2 linked regions of the Canis lupus familiaris genome follow. The protein of the gene in region 2 purifies or fractionates together with the protein of the main gene of each other region. This does not show direct contact. Links are inferred from orthologs where the notes say so. Each region holds a gene or a part of one and is shown on either strand. Other genes may lie near its edges.

Region 1 (10,072 bases), on a different chromosome or scaffold from region 2:
GCAGTTCTCCTTCACAGCATTTATCATGTTTTGAAAGATCTGTGAAATCATTTAATATCTGACTTCTCTCAAATAATGTTTCCTAATTTAACGCTTTATTTAGAAAGTTTGGTCATGTAAGCTTTCAGTAAGAATCTTGCAGAAATGAAAAAACATACTGTAGCAGTTACAGAATTTGCCTAAGAGTAATTTCTGAAAGCTTGTATTAAATTACTTTTAAGGATCAGTAAGTTCAACATTTAAAGTACAGAACATATCAATTTAAGAGCTTCACTAGTGATATACTGGAGGGTTCAAGTGCTCTAAGTAGCACTGTCCTAAGGAAGGTCATTTACTTACAAAACCAAAGATCCTACTTATCAGAAGCTTCACTCACCTTCTGCAGTTTTTTAAAGGAAGATGCCTTCATATTTTCTGACAATTTAACAGAAAAATACTATTAGTTACATTAAGGAATAAGCAATTAAGATCACAAGAGGTAACCTTCTGAATTCCTATGTAATTTTAAAAACAAAGCTATATGGAAATATCTAGAAAAAGTAAGAAATAAGTTTCCAAGAGGAAATGAAGTTTTTATTTTTAAAACTTCTAATTCCACGCTATTCCAGTAGCATCATCATAATCAAAGCAAAGTACCTTAATCCTGTAGCACTTACCCAAATGGTAATCACTTCTTAAACCTTCCAAAAAGGAAGTTACTCTATTATAGTCTTCCTTTTCAATACGGGGAGATACATTCTCTTCTCTTGATTCTCCTTTATGTTACAATCTTACCAATACTCTCTCCCAATTGAATAAAACAAGAAGTTTAATTAAAACAATACTTAGCTCCAGAAAAAAGCAAATGGTAACCTTTTAATGAGATCACTGGGTCTTCTAATGAAAAAGGATACAAAATCTCTAAGTTGTCCAAATATTTCATCCACTTTACCAATTTGTTCTTTGTTCTCTAAATAAACTGGAGCATTAAAATAAGGCACCTTATTTTCGTCTGTAGTACATTTACAAACTATGTCATCTTCACAGGGATGCAGGAACTCTCCTAATACTGAAATAGGACAAGAAAATGTTAAAATGTAAAACAGTTTCAAATGATATTGACCAACATCATCTGGAAGTTTCTTCTTGGGTACCTGGGATTTCACTTATGTGTTCTCCTCTGAGGCAAAAAAAAAAAAAAAAAGCCAAAAACTCCACATTAGCTCTGTGACCTGGGGTAAGATTCTTTTCTCTGATTCACTGTCCTATTCTTAATAAGGGCAAATAGCAATACCAACACCCTATATATATTACTATGAGGAATAAATACAATAATAAATGTCAGGTGCTTAGAAAAGTACCTGGCACATTGAGGCCATCCAACCTATAAGAGGTGTTTTATTATAACAATAAGTATTATTATTAAGCACCATGCTTACATTCTGTCTCTTCATTTCCCCGGTCCCTAATTGTAAATCAGTCTTTGTTCTCCTTTTTTCCTCCCTTTAATAACCTCCTACTACCACGTCTTTACCAATGACTCTTCACTCTTTTTCAGGGACGCGTGGAATCCAAAATAACTACCTTTATTTCTGACCGTCACCCCAAACTAAAAAACTCATCACATCCCTCCAAAACCAATTCTTCATCCCTATCACCCAAAATCCAAACCTGGAACCTTTTATTCCCAAGAATTAGCCAAGTTCTACTGAATTTATTTCCATTGAAATTGCTCTCCCATCAAACCCGTCCTTTTTTTTCTCCTCACTTTCACTACCCTCACAGTGCATCATGCACGGACTGTTGCATGCTTGTGGGCTACTTCACATAGACCTATGACTCTAGCCATTGCACTCTTCAAACCATTTTGCACACTGATCCAACCAGTGTGAGGTTGCACTCTCTTCATCACTTCTCCTTTTTGATGTAGGCTTCTACTATCAAATCTGTCTCACGTCCCAGGACTTCCATCCCACCTCATTGATAATTACTTCAAATCTACTCTCATTAGGTTTTTTTTCCTTGGCTTCCCTCCCCTCTGTAGATTCCCTAACAAGCAATTTTCCTCACTTCTCTTACTTATGAAAAGCAATGGAGAGCATGGGCTTTGGAGTCAGAAAACGTGGCTTTGTAGCTCAAACGGATCACTTATTAATATGATGCCAGCAAAGAAACTTATTACTACGACCCTAGCAAAGAAACTCAACTCTCACGGTTTTCTTACCTGTAAAACGGGGACAACAGGAATAAACACACAGTATTACCTACTTAATAACTTCCTTTCAGCCCAAGCTCAAGTTCCACCTCCACGACGCATTCTAAGTGTTGTTCTGCCTTCTTGATCGCCCCTTTACATTTGAGCGCTACAACACGATTGTAAGTCAGCTTACAGCATCTCCAGACCCGATTCCCCAACCCAGCAGCAACTTCCATAGGAGAGCTGCTAGAGCTGCCTTTCAGCACGCTCATTTCCCAAACTTAAACCCACAACCTCCGCCCCCAAGTAGGTTAAGCTTTGAAACCGACATACAAACTACGTGCTCCGGAGGTCCTTGGTCTTGGCCTTTGTTAAAGCCTCCGCGGCCACCTCCTCGTCCAAATCCTCCTCTACCACCACCGCCGCCTCGGAAATTACCGCCTCCACCTCGGAAGTGGTTGTTGCTTCCGCCGCGACTGAAGCCACCACCTCGATTAAAGCCTCCACGACCACCGCCTCGAAAAGACATGCTTACTCTACCTGGTAAGAAAAACAGTACGTATCTTTTTGGTCATTGTGGCCTCTGGGTGCACCACCCTCTGTGCCACGGTCAGAACATCATACAGCGGGACAGTAAGAAGTACAGCAACCTTGCCACCTCGCCCAAGGCCAAGCCGCCAGAGATGAACCCGAGGGTGAGGCGTGTCACCTTCCCGTTGCCCTGTGCGCGCGGACCGACCGCTCACCAGCCTCTCCGCCCCCGGTCAGTATCTCCTCCCCCAGCAGGCAGAAAGGTCTTCACGCCACATTCCCTTCCTTCCCCCCTCCCTCCGTAGCTGGGTCCCGCGTCCAGACATCCTCAGACCCCTCTGCTCGCCACCGCAACGCACCGGAGCCACGTGCACCTCCGGCCCCGCTGCCCCCACCCACCCGCCAGCCCGGTACTTCCGCCGTGAACGAGCCTCCTCGGCCACCGTACCCGCACAAAGGTGGCGGGGAGCGACAAGAAATTCGAACGACTGATTTACAAAAAAAGCCAGTCACCGGCAGAACCGGGGGCGCTGTCCCATTTCCAAAACGGCCTTCAGCGCTGGAAGAGCGGCGCTACTACCCACCGTCAAACAGTAGTTTACGGCAGTCGCGTCCGTTTGCCTACGAGGAGCGGAGGAAATGACGTATAATAGTGGCGTCCGTTGACTCGAGAAGTTGCCGGAAGTGCGGCCGCGCTGTTGCCCCGGGAGATGGTTGGCGTGAGAGTTCCGCCCCCCTCTCCCGGGGACCTGGCGGTTCCAGGTGGCTGGGAGCTGGTGGGGAGCCCTGGCTTCTCAGGCTGCAGAATGGTCTCCTCGTTCGTTAGTTCGTCGCCAGCCCCAGCAACTGTACTGCCCCGTCTCTGAGTTTGCAGCTGCGCTGTACGCAGGGGTGGATCTGGTGGGGTCGCAACCCGCGCAGGGCTTCCTGCGTTCTTCTGAGCGCGTGTGTTTCTTCCGGACCTTTTGAGGTAAGCTCGACTGTGAGGTGAACCGGGGCGGTCCTTTTGTCCCGTCGTTACGCTTCGTTAAAGGAAGGGGGGACGTGCGTGCACGTGTGTTCTTTTCTTTAAAAATGTTTTTTTTTGGGGGGGATCCCTGGGTGGCGCAGCGGTTTGGCGCCTGCCTTTGGCCCAGGGCGCGATCCTGGAGACCCGGGATCGAATCCCACGTCGGGCTCCCGGTGCATGGAGCCTGCTTCTCCCTCTGCCTGTGTCTCTGCCTCTCTCTCTCTCTCTCTCTCTCTCTCTGTGACTATCATAAATAAATAAAAAAAAATTTTAAAAAATGTTTTTTTTTACTAAAAATAAAATAAATAAAAATGTTTTTTCTTTAAAAGTATATTTTATGTAACAAAAAGCGAAGCCGTATTTTTAAAAAAATTATTTTAAAGATTTCATTTATTCATTCATGAGAGGGAGAAACAGGCTCCATGCAGGGAGCCCGACATGGGACTCGATCCCAGATCTCCAGGATCACGCCCTGGGCTGCAGGCGGCGCTAAACTGCTGAGCCACCGGGGCCTTTTTTTTTTTTTTTTTTTTACCTTTTAGTTAGGCGATCTCTACACCCAACATAGGGCTGGGACTCACAGCTGGGAGCGGAAGAGTGTCAGGCTCTTCTGACTGAGCCAGCCAGGGGTCCCTGGAGAGTAGGTTTTGAGCACTGACACAGGCCGTGGACCATCTATGCTACAAGCCCCTCTATCCTTTTTTTCCTTTAAGACCTTCATACCTAATTTAAGCTTCCGGTGAGATTTCTCTACCAAGGAAAGCTAGTGATCTCCTATTTGTTAAATTTGGTTGGTCTCTTTTATACTGGAATCTTTCGAGACCTTCCTTCCTTTGGTATTTGACACAGTCCACCTCCTCTTCTTTGAAAGGGTGGGGATTGGTACCTGCTTCAGAGGGCTGATGTAATTGGGAAGAACTTTGTGAGCTTCGCTATGGGAATACTAGTGATGTAGTTTTGGAAATATAGGTGAGGTTTGCTGGGGTGAAGTCCAGAGCCAACCACCAAGAAAGAATTCTTGAGACGTCTTTGGTGCAAAATGGTGGTTTTGTTTTGTTTTGTTTTGTTTTGTTTTGTTTTGTTTTGTTTTTTTTAAAGCATGGGGGCAGGACCCACAGGCAGGAAGAGTGCTGCTGCCCCCCGGCTAGTGAGGGCTGGCTGATTATATACCTGGGAGTTGAAGGTAAGGAAAAGGGAAGTTTCAAAAAGATTTCCGTATGTTGGGGAGGACCTGTAAGATACTGGAGGCCTTGCAGTTGTCAAGTTGATATGAGAGAGCTTGGTTCTTGCCTCATGGAGTTGAAGAATGAATCTCATGGACAATAGAGAGTGAGCAAAGCGATAAAAGTTTAGTAAGCAGAGGTACAGAGAAAGTTCTCAGAAGCCAGAGGGGTCCCCACAGGATTGCCACAGGGCTTTTAGTGGCAGTCTTTGATTGAGAACCGGGCCAGGGAGCCCAGTGGCCTTGAGATTCTTGTGCAGTCTTGGATTGATCAGAGAGTATTGATAACACCATAATGACTGACTTCTTTGTGGTCTTGTGAGTTTCCGTGATTACTTAGTAACCATCAAAGGGAGATACTCCCCAACATTTTGGAGCTAGGAAGCCAGGTTTATTATTTTTCTCTGTTTTTACTGTCTTTGTTTTCTTGGGATGGGTGGGAGCCTGACTCTGGACCTTTCGTTTATGGGAACCCACAGATTTCTGGGAGCTTGATTCTCAGCCTTTCCCTTAACTTTCCCTGCCTAGCCCCATTTGCCGCTCCTTCCTACATCAAAGTTAAGTTGTTTTTCCTCTAGCGGGGCATTAACATTAAGATACTTGGGAACTTCCTGGGGGAAAGTCACATATATTCCCACCTAGGAGTGGAAGGGGGGTGTTGCAGGGTGTGAGCTTGTGCTTTGTCCTCAGCTAGCCTTCTGTTCCCTCATCACTAGGAATCACAATATGTTTTCTGCACTATTCTAAGCCCCTAAGAAGCCTAGATATAAAAGGAACTTGATAAATGTATTTTTATTCATATTTGGTAAATGTATTTTAAATACTGTATATCATGAAGAATATTATTCATAACGGCCCTGCCCTATTTTGCTTTGCTTCATTTAACTTTTATGTTCAGCGTTTAGCTCCATTTGGGGTCCGCTTTTATTTCTAACTCACTGTGATAAAAATTATTGAAGTTTTATAAGACCTTCAGGATTACCTGGTACCCCTTTATTTTACTTCTTGACAGCAAGAAAGTAACATTCAGAGACGTGAAGTAACTTCAGCCACTTAGAGGAACAAAGTAGAACCCTAGAGTCTCAGAGTTTTCAGTCCTTTTCGGTCCCAACCCTCATCTCTTATTCTTCCCAAATTGTGCGTCATTCCCGTTCCCTGTTAGTCTTCATGATAGCACCATACCCTTGGTTTCTGAATCTTTGGACTCAGACCTCTGAGTACTCTGCTCTATCATTGTTATCAATCTAATTTGTTACACAATAAGAGAAACTAATACAGATTTTGGTTCTAATTTGTTACACAATAAGAAAAACTAATACAGATTTTGGTTCTCAGCGCAAACAGGATGTTTGCGCTGAGAAGTGGACTGTGGTAATACTTCCAAGAAAATAGGCGAGATTTTGCCAAATTCTTTGAAGATCAAGAATGGCTGCAGAAACTAGCCTACTTAGGAGACATTTTTTCCTTACATGACCTTGTTGAATTGGTTGAGTACGTGCGGCTCAATCTCACGACCTTGAGATCATCACATTGGACTTTAAGTCGTGTTTGTAAAACAGTTTCTAACAAAGTGTAAAACAAGAAAACTACACAAGGAAATCAGAAAGGAAAAATGAAATCTTTATAATTCACTCTTAATGACAAGCTCCATGTTTTGCAATCACAAAATTACAAAACAACAGGGAGGCATCTGAGTCATAGCTTTACTTAGAATTTACTCCTTGATTTTTTTTTTTTAATCATATCAGGGAAAGTTTGTTTGCTCTCTGGTAGCTGTGGGTATGGAGAGGCTGAGGAAGGATAAGGAGATGATACAGTTCAAGAGGGAGAAGCTGATGCCATCAACCTATCACTACCCTCTCAGTACAATTCAGCACTCACTAATTATCAATAGCATCCCCTATCTCACATCAAAAACAGAGTGGACTCTACCAAATGGACATAGTCATGCAGACACTGCCATATAGCTGAAAAGTCTCTAGCAAAATTACTAACAGAGCTGCTTGATCACTTTTCATTACTGCAAGTACTGGCATTGCATGGAGAAGGAAAGTCAAAAAAATTAAAAATTTTCCCCTTTCTTTTTTTTTTTGAATTCCTAGTGACTTCTCACAGAATTCCTAACGGCATCTACAGAACCCAACTGAGAAATCTACACTAGATTCTAAGTTCCCGAAGAATGGACACTACAGTTTGTTTTGGAATCCTAAGCATTTAGCACAGTGCCTATAAAAAAAAAAAAAAAAATGCCCAATAAGTATTTGTTACCTGAACTAAACTGAACTTTATAATTTGAATTTCTGACCATTTATTGTGTTTGTCAACAAAGTGACTACAGAATAATGGACAAAGAGATTATAAAAGAAATGGAGGGGGATGCCTGGGTGGCTCAGCGGTTGAGCATCTGCCTTCAGCTCAGGGCATGATCCCGGGATCCAGGATTGAGTCCCACATCAGGCTCCTTACAGGAAGCCTGCTTCTCCCTCTGCCTGTGTGTCTGCCTCTCTCTCTCTCTCTCTCTCTCTCTCGAATAAATAAATAAAATCTTTAAAAAAAAAAATGGAGGGAAAAAGAAAGCATATAAGTAGCATACATCCATTTGTGCTACTGAAAAGTTAGGGAATCTAATTAAAATACTTGGTAAGGAGATATTCTAAACAACAGAGAAGAGAAAGGGCTGAAAAACCTTATACTAGAACAAGATGTTCTAAGGACTTAGCCAAAGTTGACTGTAAATTGGAAACAATATGAACTCATGACTTTCTTTTTTAAAACTTATTATTAAAATTTCAAACATAAAAGTTCACAGAGAGCGGTATAACAAACCTCATAATTCAGTTTCAACAATTACCAGCATTTTGCAAATCTTGTTTCATCTATCCCTTCATTATTATAATATATATAATTATAAATTATGCATATAAACTTATTTTTTTTTTAGATTTTATTCATTCATAAGTGAAACAGAGGCAGAGACATTGACAGAGGGAAAAACAGGCACCCCACAGGGAACCTGACATGGGATTCAATCCTCGGACCCAGGATCATGCCCCGAGCAAAAGGCAGATACATAACCACTGAGCTACCCAGGCATCCTTAAAATATTTTATTTTAAAAATAAATATTCTTAAATTTGTAATTCCAAAATATTTTATTATCTTATAATTATTTATAAATTACTATTATATATTTTTCTATATATATATATATATATGTATGTATGTATGGGGGGGGGCTAGAGTATTTTGTGGTAAGCTTCACATAGCATTTCATCCATAAATCTCCACCAGAGGACTTTTTTTTTCCCAGAGGACTTTCTAAACATAATCACAATACCATTATCACAGTTAACTAAAGTAATAATTCCTTAGTATCAGCTAGTAACAGTCCATGTAGAATTTTCCCAGACTATTTCAAAATGACTTTTAAGGTTGCTTTGAGGGCAGCCCAAGTGGCTCAGTGGTTTAGCACCACCTTCATGATCCTGGAGACCTGGAATCAAGTCCCACGTCAGGCTCCCTGCATGGGGGGGACTCTGCCTGTCTCTCTCTCTCTCTTTTTTATAAATAAATTTTAAAAAATAATAATTATGACAGCCCACGTATTTACTTGAACCTACAGACATATGTGCGTTTGTGTGTGTGCATAAAATAGATGTCAAGTGTTGATGTTATTAATTACAGACTGCTGAATCCTTTTTAAGATTTTGTTTGTATCAATTTGCTGACATTTTACTTGGACTTTTTGCACCTATAGTCATAAATGAAGTTAATCTTTCTTTTTCTTTTTCTTGTAAATTCTGGTTGTATAGATCCTTGTTAGGATCCCTGCGTGGATGATTGTGCAGGAGAGGGATACAGTGGGATGTGAGGCCTCAGAAGCTTTCCTATGGCTTATTTTTCAAATGCAGAGACTTCCTGAACCCCATGAAGTTGTATATACCTGGAATGCTTCTTTGCTTCTCCTGCCTCACTATCCACTCAGGAACTGCTAAGTTAGAACCTGTTGGGCAGAGAGCCTTCTGTAGACTTTATCTTGGAACAAATGCTGAAGTAAGTTGCCCCAAGAATGGGATACGGGCTCAGGGCACCTGACTGTCTCAGTTGACAGAGCAGGTAACTCTTTTGGTCTTGAGGTTTTGAGTTCAAGCCCCTCATAGGTTGGGGTAGAGATTACTTTAAAAATAATAAAAGAATGGGCTGCTGGCTCAATTGTTCTGATCTTTCTTTAATTGACCACCTGTCCATCACTTCTCTCAGATTCTACTGTCTCCATTTATTTTGTGGTTTCCCTTATTCTGGATACCTCGCTGTCACCTATATAACATTTCTTAAACTTTGAGTTTTGCAATTAATCTTTTCCTCTGTTATACATCTTCAGTAACTCTTCACTGTTTATATCCTATTGATGGAATCCCTCTTCAGTTTTTGATGGTGCAATGGAATTATTTTTATTTTTATATTTATTTTCAATGACATGTTGGGAGGGAAGAGATACTAACTATAGAGAATGTCAGTCATTATGAACCATCTATTACATTTTTTAATTGTTTATAAGAAAGTCATTTTCTTCTATTGATTTTGTATCTAGTCATTTTAATAACTGACATTAGGTCTAATACTTTTTCAAGCACTTTTATCTAAGTAGACTGTCATTTTATCTGCAAATAATGGCAATTTTGTCTCTTCTACTGCAATAATTTTTTCATATTTATTGCCTGCAATAGCAACAACAATATTTAAATATATCATCTTTGATTTTTTATGGGTTTGCCTCTAGTGTTTCACCATTGTACATGGTATTTACTGTTGGTTTCTATCCTTTATGATATTAATGATATTTGTTCTTTTTCCAGATTGCTCACTTTTTAAAAATTAAGAATTTATGTTAAACTCATATTAAACACCTTTTCCATATTTTATGATGTAATTATACATATTATCTTATTTAATCTATTTTAATTAATTAAAAAATTTAATATACTGAATTGTATAAATAGATATCCTAATGTTGAACATCCTTGTAAATTTCTAAAATGCTCCCCACTTGGTCATTATATTGTTTTTAATATGCTGTGATTTGTAATGTATACTTTGCTAATATTTTATTTAGGGTCATTACATAGAAATGAATG
Region 2 (9,995 bases):
ATAAATGCATCAAATCAGTATGTGTATACCTCAGGGGATCCCTGGATGGCTCAGCGGTTGGGCGTCTGCCTTCGGCCCAGGGCATAGTCCAGGAGACCCGGGATCGAGTCCCGTGTAAGGCTCCCTGCATGGAGCCTGCTTGTGTCTCTGCCTCTCTCTCTCTCTCTCTCTCTCTCATGAATAAATAAATAAAATCTTTAAAAAAAATAAAAATAAACCAATATGTGTACACCTCAAACTTATATGTTATATAACAATTATATTTTAGTTTTTTAAAAAGACCAAAATAAACCCAGAGCAAGCAGAAGGAAATAGAAAAGAGCAGAAATTAATAAAGTTGAAAACAGAAAAATAATAGATAAAAATCAATGAAACAAAGAGGTGGCTCTTTGAAAAGATCAATAAAATTGAGAAACTTCTGGCAAGACTGAAAAAAAGAGAAAAATCAAATTACCAATATCAGGAATGAAACAAAGGATATCACTAAAGACCCTGCAGACACCAAAAGGATGAAGCAAATATAAACAACTCTTCATATATACATTTGATAATTTAGATGAAATGGACTGATTCTTTAAAAAAACAAAACAACAACAACAAAAAAAACCAACTACCACAAATTGACTGATATGAAATGGATAATTTGAATAGCCCTAAAACAACTAAGGAAATTTAATCCATAATTTAAAACTCACCAAAAAAGAAATCAGTCGATCAATGAATCTGTGGCCTAGATGGTTTTCCTGGAGAATTTTACCAAATTTTTTTTTTTTAAAGATTCTGTTTTATTCATGAGAGACAGAGAGAGAGGCAGAGACATAGGCAGAGAGAAAAGCAGGCTCCATGCAGGGAGCCTGATGGGCACTCCATCCTGGGGCCCCAGGATCATGCCAGAAGCTGAAGGCAGATGCTCAATCGCTGAGCCACTCAGGGGTCCCTTACCAAATTCTTTTAAAGAATTAACACTGGCGGGGATCCCTGGGTGGTGCAGCGGTTTGGCGCCTGCCTTTGGCCCAGGGCACGATCCTGGAGACCCGGGATCGAATCCCATGTCGGGCTCCCGGTGCATGGAGCCTGCTTCTCCCTCGGCCTATGTCTCTGCCCCTCTCTCTCTCTCTCTGTGTGTGACTATCATAAATAAATAAAAATTAAAAAAAAAAAAAAAAAAAGAATTAACACTGGCGGCCCAGGTTTAGCGCCGCCTTCGGCCCAGGTTGTGATCCTGGAGACCCGGGCTCCCTGCATGGAGCCTGCTTCTCCCTCTGCCTATGTCTCTGCCTCTCTCTCTCTCTCTCATGAATAAATAAATAAAATCTTTAAAAAAATTAACACCAATTACAACACCTCTTACAGGAAAAAGAAGAGGAAGTGATTCTTCCAAACTCATTCTAGGATGCTAGCATTTGCCTGTGACAGGCTAAAAAGGGACCCCCCCACACACAAAGATATTCACATCCTAATCCTGGCAACCTGTGAATATCACCTTTATAGGGCAAGAACAAAAGAGTCTTTGCAGATGTGATTAAGGATCTTGAGATGAGTACCCTGAATTATCCAGGTGGGTCCTAAATGCAATCACATGTATCCCGATAAGAGAGAGGCAAAAGAACTTGACACACACAGACACAGAAGGCAGTGATGTGAAGACAGAGTCAAGAGATTTGAAGATGCTGGCCATTAAGAATAAAACGATGAAGCCAAGGAATAGCTGCAGCCAGCCAGAAGCTAGAAGAGAGGCAAGGAATAGATTCTCCCCTAAAGGCTCCGGAGGGAGTACAGACAGCCCTGCCAAAACCTTTATTTTGGCCCAAGGATACTTACTTTGGACTTAAGGCCTCCTTAAGAACTATGAGAGAATCAATTTCTGTTATTCTAAGCCACCAAGTTTGTGGTGATTTGTTGCAGAAAACACATGAAACTAATACATTCCCTGATTACAAAATCAGACAAATACAATATAAAAAAGAAAACTACACACCAATATCACTCATGAATATGTAGGAAAAAATTCTTGATAAAATATTAGCAAATATAATTCAACAATATATTAAAAGAATTATACACCATGACCAACTGGGGTTTACTCCAGGAATGCAAGGCAGGTTCCACATTCAAAAATCAATCCATGTGAGGGACGCCTGGGTGGCTCAGCAGTTGAGCATCTGCCTTTGGCTCAGGACGTGATCCCAGAGTCCTGGGATCGAGTCCCACATAGGGCTCTCTGCATGGAGCCTGCTTCTCCTTCCTCTTCCTATGTCTCTGCCTCTCTCTGTGTGTCTCTCATGAATAAATAAATAAAATATTTTTAAAAAATCAATCCATGGGCAGCCCGGGTGGCTCAACAGTTCAGCGCCGCCTTCTGCCCAGGGTATGATCCTGGAGACCTGGGATCGAGTCCCACGTCGGGCTCCCTGCATGGAGCCTGCTTCTCCCTCTGTCTGTGTCTCTGCCTCTCTCTCTCTGTGTGTCTCTCATGAATGAATAAAAAAAGAAAAATAAACCCATGTAATTCACATTAACAGGATCTTAAAAATTACATGATAACCAATGTAAAAAAATTTTTGACAAAATTCAACACTCATTTCCGCCAAAAATATGAACAGAAACAGGAATAGACAGGAACTTCTTCAACTTGATAAAGAGCATCTAAACCAAAACTACAACTCATATTATATTTAATGGTGAAAGACAATATTAACAGCAGGCAAGAATATCCAAGGGGCATCCCGGGTGGCTCAGTGGTTTAACGCCACCTTCAGCCCAGGGCCTGATCCTGGAGACCCGGGATCGAGTCCCACATCAGGCTCCCTGCATGGAGCCTGCTTCTCCCTCTGCCTGTGTCTCTGTCTCTCTCTATGTGTGTCTCTCATGAATAAATTTAAAAAATCTTAAAAAAAAAAAAAGAATATCCATTCTCACAATTCTTATTCAACATAGTGCTAGAAGTTCTAATAATGTAAAATTAGGCAAGAAATGGAAATGACAGGTATACAAAATAAAAAAGAAAAAAGCCCCTATTTATAAATGAAATGATTACCTATGAAGAAAAATCACCAAAAAATCTCTAAAAACATAAAAACCTCAGGACGCCTGGGTGGCTTGGCAGTTGAGCATCTATCTGCCTTCAGCTCAGGGCATGATCCCGGAGTCTGGGATCAAGTCCCACATCGGGCTCCTTGTGGGGAGCCTGCTTTTCTCTCTGCCTGTGTCTCTGCCTCTCTCTGTGCCTTTCATGAATAAATAAATAAATAAATCTTTAAAAATAATAATAATAAAATAAAATAAAAATAAAAACCTCCTGGAGCTAATAATTGAATTCAATGAAGTCACAGGAAACAGGATACAATACAAAAACCCACTGTATTTGTTTGCAATGAAAATGTGGACTTCAAAATTTAAAATATAAAATCATTTATAATCACTTAGAAATATGAAATACTCAAGTATAAATCTAACAAAACATGTAGAAAACTTATAAATCAATAACAACATGCTAGCAATCATAAAAAAAAAAAGGACAGGACTGGAGGCATTGTGCTGATTTCAAACTATCATACAAAAGCTATATAGTAATCAAAACAATATGGTATTGGCATAAAAACAGACACATAAGTTAACAGAATAGAACAGAGAACTCAGAAATAAACCCATGCATATATGGCCAATTAATTTATGACAAAGGACCCAAGAACTTTCAATGAGGAAAGGACAGTCTCTTCAATAAATGGCATTGGAAAAATTAGACAGCCAGTGCAGAAAAATGAAACTGGGGACCACTAGCTTATATCATACACAAAAATCAACTCAGAATGGATTAAAGACTTGAACCTAAGACCTTAAGCCAAAAAATCCAAGAAAACATAGGCAGTAAGCTCCCTGACAGTCTTGGTGATGCTTTTTTGGATTTAATACCAAAAGCAAAGGCAACAGAAGCAGACAAACAAATGGGACGACATCCAACTAAAAAGCTTCTGCACAGCAAAGGAAACTACCAACTAAATGAAAAGGCAACCTACTGAAGGGTAGAATATATTTGTAAATCATATATCTGATAAGGGGCAATATCCAAAATATATAAGGAACCCATACAATTCAATAGCAAAAATAAATAAATACTTATTTAAAAACGGGCAGAGGGGGATCCCTGGGTGGCGCAGCGGTTTAGCGCCTGCCTTTGGCCCAGGGCGCGATCCTGGAAACCTGGGATCGAATCCCACGTCGGGCTCCCGGTGCATGGAGCCTGCTTCTCCCTCTGCCTATGTCTCTGCCTCTCTCTCTCTCTCTCTCTCTCTCTCCCCCATCCTCTCTCTCTGTGTGACTATCATAAATAAATAAAAATTTAAAAAAATAAAAAAAATAAAAAAATAAAAAAATAAAAACGGGCAGAGGGATGCCTGGGTGGCTCAGCAGTTGAGTGCATCTGCCTTCGGTTCAGGGCATGATCCCAGGGTCCTGGGATTGAATCCCACATCAGGTTCCCTGCATGGAGCCTGCTTCTCCCTCTGCCTATGTCTCTGCCTCTCTCTTTCTGTGTCTCTCATGAATAGATAAATGATCTTTCAAAGAAGACATGCAGATGGCCAACAAATACATGAAAATATCCCAACATCGGGAGTCGCCGTGCGGCAGCTCCCTCCTGGCCTATGTCTCCGCGCTCCCTGCCGCAATGAGCTTCCTCAAAAGTTTCCCGCTGCCCCGCTCGGCCGAGGGGCTTCGGCAGCAGCAGCCCAAGACCGAGGCTGTGCTGAAGGGCAAGGGCCTCGGCACCGGCACGCTCTACATCGCGGAGAGGTTTTGAGTCTCCGGCCCCTGAGTGAGAATCATCAATGTGCCTGTCTCTTCTGTGAAAAGGTGTGGGAGGTGTTGCTCTTGGCAAGATATCCACCTGTCTTGGTTAGATGGCTCTGGATTAGGATTCTCACTGGAATACCCCACCATTAGCTTGCATGCGATGTCCAGGGACCTAAATGCCTATCCACAGAGCATTTGTATGTTATGGTGAATGCTAAATTTGGAGAAGAATCAAAAGAATCTGTTGCTGAAGAAGAAGACAGTGATGATGATGTTGAACCTATTGCTGAATTTAGATTTGTGCCTAGTGATAAATCAGCATTGGAGGCAATGTTCACTGCAATGTGTGAATGCCAGGCTTTGCATCCTGATCCTGAGGATGAAGATTCAGATGATTACGATGGAGAAGAATATGATGTGGAAGCACATGAACAAGGGCAGGGGGACATCCCTACATTTTATACCTATGAAGAAGGATTATCCCATTTAACAGCAGAAGGCCAAGCCACCTTGGAGAGATTAGAAGGAATGCTTTCTCAGTCTGTGAGCAGCCAATATAACATGGTTGGAGTCCGGACAGAAGATTCAATCAGAGATTATGAAGATGGGATGGAGGTAGACACTACACCAACAGTTGCTGGACAGTTTGAGGATGCAGATGTTGATCACTGAAGATGATTTATGCTGCTGTGGGATTCTGCTCATAACTAGGAAAGAACTAAAGAACTTGGTGCCTCTTCTACTGTGGAGTGGGTGTTGATGAAAGTCTTTTTCCTTCTCCAAAATTTACCTGAACCAGTTCTTTTTTTGAGACAGACTATATACTGAGACAAAAAGTTGTCACCAGCAGAAGAAACTATGACCTTTATTAACAAAGGTGAATTAACTTAACCAAGAGGGTATTTGTAGTTTATCATCTACCCAAAACTTTTGTGTATAGGTATCCTCTGAGTAGGCCTATAGTTCCTGCTTTCACTATATGCATCTTCTGTAACCTGGCAGGCCTATGTGGTGAGAATGCGCAGGTACTTGAAGACATAGGTAGACTGGATGGGAAGGAAGGAGGCTGAATCTAAGATATATCCTTTAGAGCCTAAGGATTCCCTTACCCCTTAAAAAGAAAGACAAAGAGATCTCAGAGAAATCCTGGCCACTGCTTGTTCTTCACAGGGATTAAGGTCTTTTTACTAATTTGGGATCCAGGTTAATTCATTTAGGCATCTTTAGAGAGCCTCTTGGGAAATATCCTAGCCACATGAAATACCACTAATATGGATGCTTCTGATTAGCTTTTACTTCTTTCACCATGTTTCACCAGTCTGTTTTGTTATAACCTCTTAGGTTATAGCCTTTAATTTCTAACCTCTTAGGTCAGTTTCCATAACAAATGAAATTGGGACGAAGTCCTCACAGTACTTCAATGATAATTGTTTTGTCTTTGTAATAGTTTAACAAATAAGTCTAGGTTTTCTATTAAAAAGAAAAAAGAAAAAAGAAAATATCCCAACATCACTAATTTAGGGGCACCTGGCTGGCTTAGTCTGTAGAGCATGTGATTCTCGATCTCAGGGTTGAGTTTAAGCCCCACACTGGGCATGGAGCCCACTGGAAAAAAAAAAAAATCACTAATCTAATCATTGGAGAAATGCAAAATAAAACCAGAGTGAGACATCACCCCACACCTGTTAGAATGGCTAGTATCAAAAAGACAAGAAATAACAAGTGTTGGTGAGGATGTGAAGAAAAGGGAACACTTGTGCACTGTTGGTCGAACAGAAACTGGTACAGCTGCCGTGGAAAACAGTATGAAGTTTCCTAAAAAAATTAAATCTAGAACTATCATATCATCCAGCAATGCCACTTCTGAGTATTTATTCAAAGTGGAATAAAGCAGTAACAAAGAAAAAAAAAAAACAGTAACAAAGAAATATATGCACCCCCATGTTAATTGCCACATTATTTGCAATAGCCAAAATATGGAAGCGATCTAAGTGTCTATTAACAGATGAATGGATAATGAAAATATGGGGTGTGTATGCGATATACACACAATAGAATATTATTCAGCCATAAAAGAAAAGGGAAATCTTGCTATCTGCAAGAATATGGATATACCTTGAAGGCATTCTGCTAAGTGAAATAAGGGAAATATAAAAAATAGTGAAAGGGAAAAAAGGGGAAAGGATAGAAAATGAGTGGGAAAGATCAGTGAGGGTGACAGAACATGAGAGACACCTAACTCTGGGAAATGAACAAGGGGTGGTGGAAGGGGAGATGGGTGGGGGCTTGGGGTGACTGGGTGATGGACACTGAGGGGGACACTTGACGGGATGAGCACTGGGTGATATGCTATATATTGGCAAATTGAACTCCAATAAAAAATATTTAAAAATATATTAAAATGCAAAAAAAGAAAGAAAGACAAACACTGTATGAGGTCACTTATATGTGGGTTCTAAAAACAAAACAAAACAACAAAAAACAAGTTCATAGTACAGAGAACAGATTGGTGGATGCCAGATATGGGGCAAAATGGGGGAAGGGAGTCAAAAGGTACAAACTTCATTATAAAATAAATTACGGGGATCCCTGGGTGGCGCAGCGGTTTGGCGCCTGCCTTTGGCCCAGGGCGCGATCCTGGAGACCCGGGATCGAATCCCACATCGGGCTCCCGGTGCATGGAGCCTGCTTCTCCGGTGCATGGAGCCTGCTTCTCCCTCTGCCTATGTCTCTGCCTCTCTCTCTTTCTCTCTCTGTGACTATCATAAATAAATAAAAAATTTAAAAAAAAAGTCTTAAAATAAATTACGTCATGGGGATGTAATGTACAGCATGGCAACTATAGTTAATTAAACTGTATTGCATATTTAAAAGTTGCTATGAGACTAAATCTTAAAAGCTCTCACCACAAGAAAAAAATTAATAACTATATATGGTGATGGATATTAACTAGCCTTATTGTGGTGATCATTTTGCAATACATACAAATATCGAATGATTATGTTGTATACCTGAAATTAATATAATGTTGAAGTCAAGAATACCTCAATTTAAAAAGAGCATGGTAGGGATGACTGGGTGGCCCTGCAGTTGAGCGTCAGCTTCAACTCAGGACGTGATCCCGGGATCTGGGATTGAGTCCTGAATCGGACTCCTGCATGGAGCCTGCTTCTCCTTCCCCTGCCTATGTCTCTGCCTTTCTCTATATCTCTCATGAATAAATAAATAAAATCTTTTTAAAAAAGAACAACACGGGATCCCTGGGTGGCGCAGTGGTTTAGCGCCTGCCTTTGGCCCTGGGCATGATCCTGGAGACCTGGGATCGAATCCCATGTTGGGCTCCCGGTGCATGGAGCCTGCTTCTCCCTCTGCCTATGTCTCTGCCTCTCTCTCTCTCTCTGTGTGACTATCATAAATAAATTAAAAAAAAAATTTTTAAAAAAAAGAACAACATATTGGAGAAAGAATAGACAATTTTATCAGTGGAACAAACAGAAAGAAAGTAGACCTGAGCGCCTAGGTGGATCAGTCGGTTAAGCATCTGACTCTTCGTTTCAGCTCAGGTCATGATCTCAAGGTCTTCAGATCAAGGTCTGCATCAGGCTCCACGCTCAGTATCAGTCTGCTATCCCTCTCCCTACACTGCCCCCCCACCGCATCGCTTGCACAATTGTGCACACTCTCTCTCTCTCAAATAAATAAAATATTTAAAAAGAAACAGGAGGGATCCCTGGGTGGCGCAGCGGTTTGGCGCCTGCCTTTGGCCCAGGGCGCGATCCTGGAGACCTGGGATCGAATCCCACGTCGGGCTCCCGGTGCATGGAGCCTGCTTCTCCCTCTGCCTGTGTCTCTGCCTCTCTCTCTCTCTGTGACTATCATAAATAAATAAATTTTAAAAAAAAAATTTAAAAAAATAAAAAAAAAAAGAAACAGGAAAAAAGAAAAAGAAAAAGGAAATAGACCCACACAAATATAATCAACTGATCTTGGACAAAGGAGAAAAAGCAATTCAATGGAGAAAATAAATAGTGCTGAAACGACTGGACATCCATATGCAAACAAAAAAACTAGACTCGGTCCTTTTATCTTTCACAAAAATTAACTCTAAATGGATCTTAGACCTATATGCAAAATGTAGAACTATAAAACTTCTACAAGATAATAAGAGAAAATCTAAGTGACTTGGGTTTGAAAATGTTTTAAAATACAACACCAAAATTACGATTCATGAAAGGAAAACTGACAAGTGGGACTTTATTAAAATTTTAAAATTCTGCTCTATGAAAGACACCATTAAGAAAATAGACAAGTCACAGAATGAAAGAAAATATTTACAGAACACACATCTGATAAAGGACTTGTATTTAAAACATATAAACAATTCTTAAAACTCAACAATAACAAAATAAACAACCCAATTTAAAAATGGATAAAAGAGGGACGCCTGGGTGGCTCAGTGGTTGAGGGTCTGCCTTTGGCTCAGGGCGAGATCCCAGAGTCCTGGAATCGAGTCCCACATTGGGCTCCGCACAGGAAGCCTGCTTCTCCCTCTGCCTATGTCTCTGCCTCTCTCTGTGTGTCTCTCATGAATAGATAAATAAAATATTTTTTAAAAATGGATAAAAAGGGGCAGCCCAGGTGGCTCAGCAGTTTAGCGCTGCCTTCAGCCCGGGGCCTGATCCTGGAGACCCAGGATGGAGTCCCACGTCGGGCTCCCTGCATGGAGCCTGCTTCTCCCTCTGCCTGTGTCTCTGCCCCTCTCTCTCTGTCTCTCATGAATAAATAAATAAAATCTTTTAAAAAAATGGATAAAAAGGGGGGCACCCGGGTGGCTCAGTCAGTTAAGTGTCCAACTCTTGATTTCAGCCTAGGTCATGATCTCAGAGTTGTGAGATAGAGCCCTATGTTGGGTTCCATGCCCAACAGGGAGCCTGCTTAAGATTCTCTCTCCCTCTCCCTTTGCCCCTCCCCTGCTCATGTTCTCTCTCTCTCAAATAAATACATAAATCTTTTTTAAAAGGACAAAAGATCTGAACAGACACTTGACCAAAGAAGATATACAGATGGCAAATGAGCACATACAACTAGATTCAACATCATTATGGAATTGTAAACTAAAACAATGAGATACCATTACACACCTATTGGAATGGTTAAAATCCAAAAATCCGACAATATCAAATGCTGACAAGGATGTAGAGCAA

What was found. The genes of interacting proteins can lie anywhere in the genome.
Region 1: the proteins of methylosome subunit pICln-like (region 2) and GAR1 purify together in Homo sapiens (affinity purification with mass spectrometry; 3 studies listed by BioGRID and IntAct, counting the BioPlex papers as one, with this or other methods). This does not show direct contact. The link is inferred for Canis lupus familiaris from reciprocal best matches to the Homo sapiens genes CLNS1A and GAR1.

The regions. Positions count from the first base shown.
Region 1 is NC_049253.1:9,891,730-9,901,801, forward strand, and holds part of GAR1 (H/ACA ribonucleoprotein complex subunit 1), read right to left. Parts: intron 3,678-10,072; exon of another isoform or gene 3,156-3,677; intron 3,121-3,155; exon of another isoform or gene 3,067-3,120; intron 3,034-3,066; exon of another isoform or gene 2,827-3,033; intron 2,717-2,826; 5' UTR 2,706-2,716; coding exon 2,510-2,705; intron 1,049-2,509; coding exon 894-1,048; intron 437-893; coding exon 377-436; intron 1-376. UniProt on the Homo sapiens protein: Required for ribosome biogenesis and telomere maintenance. Part of the H/ACA small nucleolar ribonucleoprotein (H/ACA snoRNP) complex, which catalyzes pseudouridylation of rRNA.
Region 2 is NC_049260.1:41,160,120-41,170,114, reverse strand, and holds methylosome subunit pICln-like, read left to right. Parts: upstream 1-4,666; coding exon 4,667-4,783; intron 4,784-4,941; coding exon 4,942-5,463; 3' UTR 5,464-6,210; downstream 6,211-9,995. UniProt on the Homo sapiens protein: Involved in both the assembly of spliceosomal snRNPs and the methylation of Sm proteins.